Linked DNA regions of Canis lupus familiaris. The protein of the gene in region 2 binds, or shares a complex with, the protein of the main gene of each other region. Links are inferred from orthologs where the notes say so. Each region holds a gene or a part of one and is shown on either strand. Other genes may lie near its edges.

Evidence for each region. The genes of interacting proteins can lie anywhere in the genome.
Region 1: PFDN2 (region 2) and PDRG1 share a complex: the UniProt entries of both Homo sapiens proteins name them as parts of the PAQosome complex. The link is inferred for Canis lupus familiaris from reciprocal best matches to the Homo sapiens genes PFDN2 and PDRG1.

The regions. Positions count from the first base shown.
Region 1 is NC_049245.1:21,881,857-21,885,543, forward strand, and holds the end of PDRG1 (p53 and DNA damage-regulated protein 1), read right to left. Parts: intron 2,115-3,687; coding exon 2,034-2,114; intron 1,459-2,033; coding exon 1,376-1,458; 3' UTR 524-1,375; downstream 1-523. UniProt on the Homo sapiens protein: May play a role in chaperone-mediated protein folding.
Region 2 is NC_049259.1:22,183,260-22,187,394, reverse strand, and holds the start of PFDN2 (prefoldin subunit 2), read right to left. Parts: upstream 2,836-4,135; 5' UTR 2,769-2,835; coding exon 2,694-2,768; intron 1-2,693. Other genes in the region: NIT1 (deaminated glutathione amidase), read left to right, coding at 2,916-2,917, 3,511-3,609, 3,855-4,109. UniProt on the Homo sapiens protein: Binds specifically to cytosolic chaperonin (c-CPN) and transfers target proteins to it. Binds to nascent polypeptide chain and promotes folding in an environment in which there are many competing pathways for nonnative proteins.

The DNA of each region.
Region 1 (3,687 bases), on a different chromosome or scaffold from region 2:
GTACTGTACTCCACTGTCTGCAGCTATCAGTTCGTTTAACTAATCTACTATGGGCAGACATCTAGCTTCCAATTCCACCTGCCCACTTTAGGGTCATCATGGGGAAAACACATGCTACTTCTACTTTAAAAACTGAAGATGTAAAATCATAGGCATGGGTCAAATTTGGCTTATGTCAGGTATTCTGTTTGGCCAACACCCAAGTCTTTAAAAATGTCTGCATTAGCAATATTTAAAAGACAGAAAAGATTCAACTTAAAAATCCAAATTTCTAGCTTCTCTGAAAACAAATGTTAAGATCTGGCCATACCAGCTTGTGTTTCCATATAATTATGGGTTGGAGCCAAGTGGGGTGAGGGGACCCAGGTGAGGCACGTGCTCTCCATTCTGCCGCCATCACTGTTACTGCCTATCTAATCCTGCTATCATTTCCCAGCAGGAGCCACTGCCCCTTTGTAGTGGTGTGCTTGAGGCAGTGTGCCCTCCATTAAGAATGAGATTAGGTAAAGAACAGAAGCTCCTGTTCATTCATTTAGGAAACATTTATTAAGCCCTCAATGAACATTAAAGAGATGGTGCTGTCCTCACAGCACATTCACACCAAGATCCGAGACCACTGAGGGCAGGCGGGAACTGAGTGGTGCTGGCCAGGCCCAGCCTTCAGAGGTGGTGGAGGGCCTCATGAAGAGGCAGCTCCCTCTCCCACCCCCAGTACAGAACTCTGTAAGGCTTTCCTGACTAAACAGCAAGTGCAGGAGTTTGATAAGCAGCACCCACTCTGGGCTCCATCTGAGGGGCAAGCAGAAAAAAAGGGGCCAAAGTGGAGGCAGTGGTGGGGAATGGTATGTCTGCCCCACAGATGGCTGTGGTGAACGATGGAGCACCAAGATTCTATCCTTTCAGAAACCACCTACCTGTGAGCCTCCTGCTTTATTCCAAGTCCATTACATGATGTTTGAGAATGCCTCTCTTCCTGAAAGGAATGCAGGAATCATGCTCCCCGTCACTCCCCCGCCACTGCCAGGGGCCCATGTGAACAGCAGGCTCTTGTTATAAGTGCCTGTTTCGGTCATTCTCACACCCCCAAAGCACTGCCCCCACCCACCACTGGTGGCTGCCAGGACCTATCAATGGGTCTTGTGTCCATCCAACTCCAGTGGCCAGACCCAACAGACACTGGCAGGCTGAGGGCTCCCTCCTGCCATCACAGAGCAGCCAATCCCCACAGACAGAGGCTTCTCATGCTCAGACTCCTGATGCCTATCTCCTAGCAGAGTAGTTCATGTCCTTGCAGGTTACAAAGTTGGAGAGTCCTGGGTCCGCCATGACCTCAGGGGGGATGCTGTCTTAGATCCCTCATTTTGGTTTTTGAGTTTCATCCTTTTAAGATGATCTTCAGAGCTTTAAGTTCATCCTGGTTGAGGGGGCTCAGGTTAAAACCCTTCAGCTCTGGCTTGCCTAGGGGGAGAAAACAATCATCAGCAAGTTGGGCCTCCTGTTGTCCAACCTCCTGCTGGCTCTGGAGTCAGGCCCAGGAAAGGGGTTTATGCTGCATTCATGTGCCAAACACTTGGCCCAAGATCTAGTGGGGGAGGGCCTCAAATTCTGCAATGCGTTGGACAGGGCACATGAGTCACCGAAAACCTGCAGAGCCATGATACTGCTGCCCAGAAACCTACCAATTTCTGCCAAACCTGTGACCAATCTGGAGTGGTTAGCTTTACCCAGAAGTTCAGCTCTGACCTTGACCATCTGACTGAGGCCCTCTCTGTTCCCCTCAGACAGAACTGTTCTGGTTCCTATACCACGCCCAGGATATAATGTGAGATACCCCAGACTGTTCCCCTTATGGCTGGAAAAAAGACTCGTGAGAGGAATAAGACCCCATAAACCTTGTCCATTCCATCTCTGGGCCTGCCAATAGCCTCTGTGCGGCTCACATGCTGCCTAGGCCCTCGCCCGCCTACCTAGGAAGGCCTCCCACATTGACAGTTCTCTCCCAGCCCGGCTTCCAGTTCCCTCCAGGCCCATACCTTGGGCCTCAAAGAGGCGGTTGACCTTCACTTTAAGTTGTTTCCGGAGTTTCTCTATTTCTTTATCCAGATGATCCTGATCTGAAAAAAATGAGGTGGGCACCGGATGGGGTTATACTACAGACACACTGACCAAAGGCAGCTGGGGAAGTCAGCTTCTCCTAGCCTCCTTGAAAGCAAGGGCTCCTGGCATTCGAGAAGAAGGGGACTTCAGAGACCAACTGAGGAAGGAACTAAAGGGCTAGAGAAAGGGAGGTGGTCTGCCCAAGGCGGCTGAGTGAGTCCAGGCAGAACTGAGCACCCGCCTCTCCATCCAGTGACCTGTTTTCATTATGCAATGTACCCTGGGCTGCTCATAGGTGGAGAAGGCAATATCTGGACTTTAGGACCCCCTCCCACAGTGAAATTCCAGAAAACAGAACCATCAGACCAGAATGAAGAACCTAGACTCAGCACATCCAAGATGATTGGACAAAGTGTGGCTAAGGAATCTTACAAACCTAAGTCCATCAAAAACCTAAGCAGTTTTTAAGCAACATGACCATAGTAACATGTGATCTGAACAATCAATGGGCAAATCAGGTGCTCAAGCTTAATCTAATTAACTGTGGTGAACAGAAAAGGTTATCTTGCCCAGATGGATCACATCTGAAGGCAAACTGCACTATAGGAAGTACAGGCTACAAAGCTTGGTGATGCAACTGCCTAATGTCACCTGACTTCACCTGCTCATGAGTGTAGTGCTGGCTAGTTGGTCTTCTCCACAGATTTTCATTCTTTCTGATGGAGAGAAGCTCTGAGCAGCCGAGCCCTCTGGCCTGGGCAATGGTTCTAGTACTCATGGTAAATGAGCAACGCTAGTCTCTTACAAGCTTATTTAACTTGCATCAACCCCTAAGAACTGGTGATGATAATATCTCAGAATCCTTCTAGGTATGGCAACAACCCACAACTGTGGGCCAAGACAGCTGAGAACCTGAGTGGCCAGCAGCCCACCACCCAAGTGCAATGACGACTCTTAATTTTATAGTCATAACAGTAGTGTGTATTTTTTCAACAGGAAGGTGGAAACTTCTCTAAGGTGATCTAGTCTCCTTTGCTATAATTTTATTTCAACAGGGATAGGGAGCCTCTGCCTTCAGGGACAGAGGCGAACTTGCTGGTCCTCTTGGCACATACATTTTTGATGGGGGAATATGCATAATCTTTCGTTTTTCCAGCCAAGGACCCATCTGTACCCTCCCTTTTGTACTTTTATGATGCTCCTCCAAAGAGCCCCCAGGATCATGCCTGCGAAGATTTGAGTAACATGCTAAGTACCCAGGCTGTGGCACACTCTAGAGGCTCACTCTCCTCAAACCTCCATTTTCAGTGCAATCTCTATGGCAGGGGATGTGAAAAGTAAAAGTGCCTCTGCCAGGCTCCCTTGCAGCTATGGTGGCCACATGACTTAGTTCTGGCCAATGAGATGTCAAAAGTCTCTGAGGACGACAGCATTATTTTGAAATAGAAAGCAAGGCCATGTATGGAAAGCCCTCTGTTGCTCCTGCAGCCTGGCCTATGGACATGAGGCCTGAGATGACACAGCCACTATGAGAATACATGAGGGTGACCTTGCTGGATCTCAGTGCCAGTCTTAGACTGCCCACCTTTG
Region 2 (4,135 bases):
TTGAGTGCCTCCCTTCTGCCCAGGGTGTCATCCCAGGGTCCTGGGATTGAGTCCCACATCAGTCTCCCTGCATGGAGCCTGCTTCTCCCTCTGCCTGTGTCTCTGCCTCTCTCTCTCTCTCTCTCTCTCTGTGTCTCTCATGAATAAGTAAATAAAAAAATTTAAAAAACATTTTAAGTAAGCTCTAGGCCCAACATGAGGCTTGAACTCACAACCCAAAGATCAAAAATCACATGCTCTATGTACTGAGCCAGCCAGGTGCCCCAATAAATCTTACATTTTTTATCCAGTGTTCTCTCTGAAACACAAAGGCCATAGAATGTTAAGCAAGAACAGCCTCAGAACTCAATTATCACAACTGCTCGCTTTCTTTGGAGGGCTTCTTCTCTTTCTCCATAACCCCTTAAATATTGGTTCCATCCTTGTTCTGCTGCTTCTTTTTTCAACTTTCTGCACAAACCCTAGATGATTTTGCCCATTACCATGACTTTTTTTTTTTTTTTTAAGATTTTATTTATTTATTCATAGACATAGAGAGAGAGAGGCAGAGACACAGGCAGAGGGAGAAGCAGGCTCCATGCAGGGAGCCCGATGTGGGACTCGATCCCGGGTCTCCAGGATCACACCCCAGGCTGCAGGCAGCGCCAAACTGCTGCGCCACCGGGGCTACCCCCATTACCATGACTTTATCAGCCTTCCATAAGCTTATAGTTCTCTGACTCAAATGTAATTCAAAATTTATAAATCAAACCAACTATTAAATACCTCTACTTGAATGTCCTACAAGAAATCCAAACTCAAAACCCCAAGAGAAACATATTCCCCACCCCCCTAGGCATTTCCTATCTTCCTACATTGCCTATGAACAAGCATCCATCAAAGACATAAATCTGAGAAACATTCTAGTTTCCTCTCTATCCCGTTTTCTTCACATTGAAGTCTTGCAGTCCACCCCATACTTTAAGCCCACCTGCATCCCCAACAGGCCAGAAAGGTTCATGCCTCACTGCTTTTAAGGACATTAGTCTCTGCCTAGGAAATTCTCCACTTCCTTCTTTTTTTTTTTTTTTTTTAAGATTTTATTTATTTATTCACGAGAGAGACAGAGAGAGGCAGAGACACAGGCAGAGGGAGAAGCAGGCTCCATGCAGGGAGCCCGACGTGGGACTCAATCCCGGGTCTCCAGGATCACACCCTGGGCTGGAGGCAAATGCCAAACCGCTGAGCCATCCAGGGGTCCCTCCGCTTCTTTCTTTGCTTGACTAACTTCTCTCATCCTTTAGAACTGAAGGATTATCTCTCCCAGAAAAACAAACACTATACTCATTACTGTGCAAAACACTTTGCATGCATTTCTTGTCTAATAATAATCAAAACAGTGATGAAGTATGAACTGCCAAATTTTTACAAGGTGAGAGAGGGAACTCATGGGAGGTCATCTACACATAATAAATAGCAGAACCGTGATTCTAAAACAGATCCGCCAACCCTAGGGCACTTCTTATGCTCTTAGCCACCCCTCAGAAAGTATTAGGTTCCTTCTCCTTTTCCTCCCACCACAACACACGGGTCGGGGGGCAGAAACTATCGTTCCCCCCCCCCAAAGTCCTGCAGCACTGGGCAGCCCGGGGGGGCTCAGCTGTTTAGCCCCTGCCTTCAGCCCAGGGCCTGATCCTGGAGACCCGGGATGGAGTCCTGCGTTGGGCTCCCTGCATGGAGCCTGCTTCTCCCTCTGCCTGTGTCTGTATGAATAAATAAATAAAATATTTTTTAAAAATCCCACAGCACTTTATACCTGTTAGGACACTCATCTTCGGCCTTATGTTAGCACTTAGTAGGTCTTATTTCACTGTGAGCTCTTTGATGGCGTGGGCCAACTTGAAAAATCTTTATGGAGACACCTTTGCCTGCGGTGACTATTCGACAAATAACTGACAAGCGAGCGAGCCTGCAGCGAGAAGAGCTGTTGTCTTAGGTTTTCCCTTCTGTCGCGGGGATTTCTTGCCACCCAGACTACACACTAGCCCCGCCATTAGCAAACCAGGGCTCCCCGCGCGCCACAAAAGGCTCTCCGGGTTGTTTATCACACGTCTCCCGCTGCTGAGACACTGGGGGAGATGCAAACTCGGGTTACAACACGGTTTCTGGTCGCTCAGGAAATCCAATCTAATAACGACGTGCGGGTCAAAATAGTATGGGACGGCGGACTGCTGGGGCATGCGAGTCACGTGGCTCTGCAGAGTGAGGGCGACGGTCAGCGTGGTGCCGGGGTCACCGAACAGGCCACACGGCCAGCCCGCCGGCTCATCCCCGGGGATTCGTGCCGAGCCGCCGGGCCCGGCCTATCCTGCGGGAGGGTGCGGGGAGGTAGGCAGAGCCACGCCCGCCCCCCGCCCCTCCCCCTCCCTCTCCTCCCTTCCCTCCTCTCCCCTCCCTCCCCTCCCCTCCCCTCCCGCCGGGCTCGGGCCCCGGGCCGGCTCACCCTGCACCCCGGGGGGGGCGTGGCCTTCACCGACCAACCCTCCCGCGCTCTCCCCCGGACCCGGCCAGCTTCTCCGAGGACCCTCCCCTCTCGGGGCGGCCCCGCCACGCCGGGACGCGCGCGGGGCCTGCCCCAGCCAGCGGCGCCGCCCGCTCCTCGCACCGACTCGGGCCCGGCCCGGCTGCCCTCCTTCGCGCCCTCCGCTCCTCACCTGCTCTGCCGACACCGCCCCTTTCCCCGCGCCGCCGCCGCTGCTCTTGCCGGCGCGACCGCTGCTCTCCGCCATCTTCGCCGCCCGCTGCGCTTCCGGCCTGCGCGGCCCCGCCCCCGTGCGTCACATCCGGCCTGGAGGTTGCCGCCCCCTGGCCCCGGGGCCGCCGCTTCCAGGCCGCTCCTCCGGTCGGACGCTGCCGACGGTTTCGGCTCTATCCTCATGTAGGACCCAGCGGTGCACTCCGCTGCGGGGCTTTAACCCGTGCAAGGGAGCCGCTGCGCCTGGGAGAGGCGGAGAGGCCGGGTTGACCGGAGCGTGGGGGCGCGGGCTGGGATGTGTGTGGGTGCCGGTGCCCTTTGCCCCCCACGGGGTGGGAGGGGCGAGGGACGGTGAGCTTCCCCTCGGAGATCGGGGTAAGGGGGCATCCGCTGAGCAGTGCCGCCGTGCAGGTGCCCAGTGAAGGGGAGAGGCTGGGGAGAGCAGGGAGGTTTCTTGGGGATGCCTTTTGAACCGCGGGTATGTTCCCCCGGGCGGGCAGGTGGGGGCGGGGGCGGGGTGGGGGTGGGGGGGCTTCAATCTAATACGAGCCCACTGGAGCCGAGACAGGTGCCGAGCAAAGCCCCTTCCTCTGTCTTCCCACTTTATGAGTCTTCCTGTAGCCCATAATTACTCCCAGTAAGACTTGGTGGGGAGGGGGGGTGTTTCTCTGCGAGGGCCCTGCTTCAGCCTCCCAGTATGAAGAGAGGAGTCAGAGAATCCTGGAAATGTGCTGCTTGAGCGCGGGAGTGGTGTCCTGATTTCTCACCTTCCTCAGGCTGGGCTTCATCATCAGGCCTCCTCACCAGCTCCTGCCCCTTCTCTTGTGTCCTGGACTCCGGATACCTCGACTCTCAGTACTTTGTGCACAGCCCAGGTAACATGTTTTGCTCTGTCCTTGGCGCCTGACACTTAATAGATGTTCAGTAAATGTCTGTGATGTGCATAGATGGTGGGATACACTGGGGTGCCAACCATCACAGAACATTTCATCAGTGGGGAGCCCTGAAAAGCAGAAACCAAAGGGCAGCGCAGCCCTCCTGCTCCCCCACTTAAGACTCTGATTGTTAAATTTGCATTTCCCCATTCTGGAAGTCTGAGCCCTGCCCGTGCCATTCACAGTCCCAGAGCCATGGCTATCTCCTCTTCTTCCTGGGAACTGCCGCTGGTGGCTGTGTGCCAGGTAACATCAACACCAGACAAGCAGGAGAACTTTAAAACATGCGCCGAGCTTGTTCGAGAGGCTGCCAGACTGGGTGCTTGCCTGGCTTTCCTGCCTGAGGCATTTGACTTCATTGCAAGGGACCCTGCAGAGACACTACGCCTGTCTGAGCCACTGGGTGGGAACCTTTTGGGAGAATATACCCAGCTTGCCAGGTATCAGGGAAAGGGGGAGGGAAAGG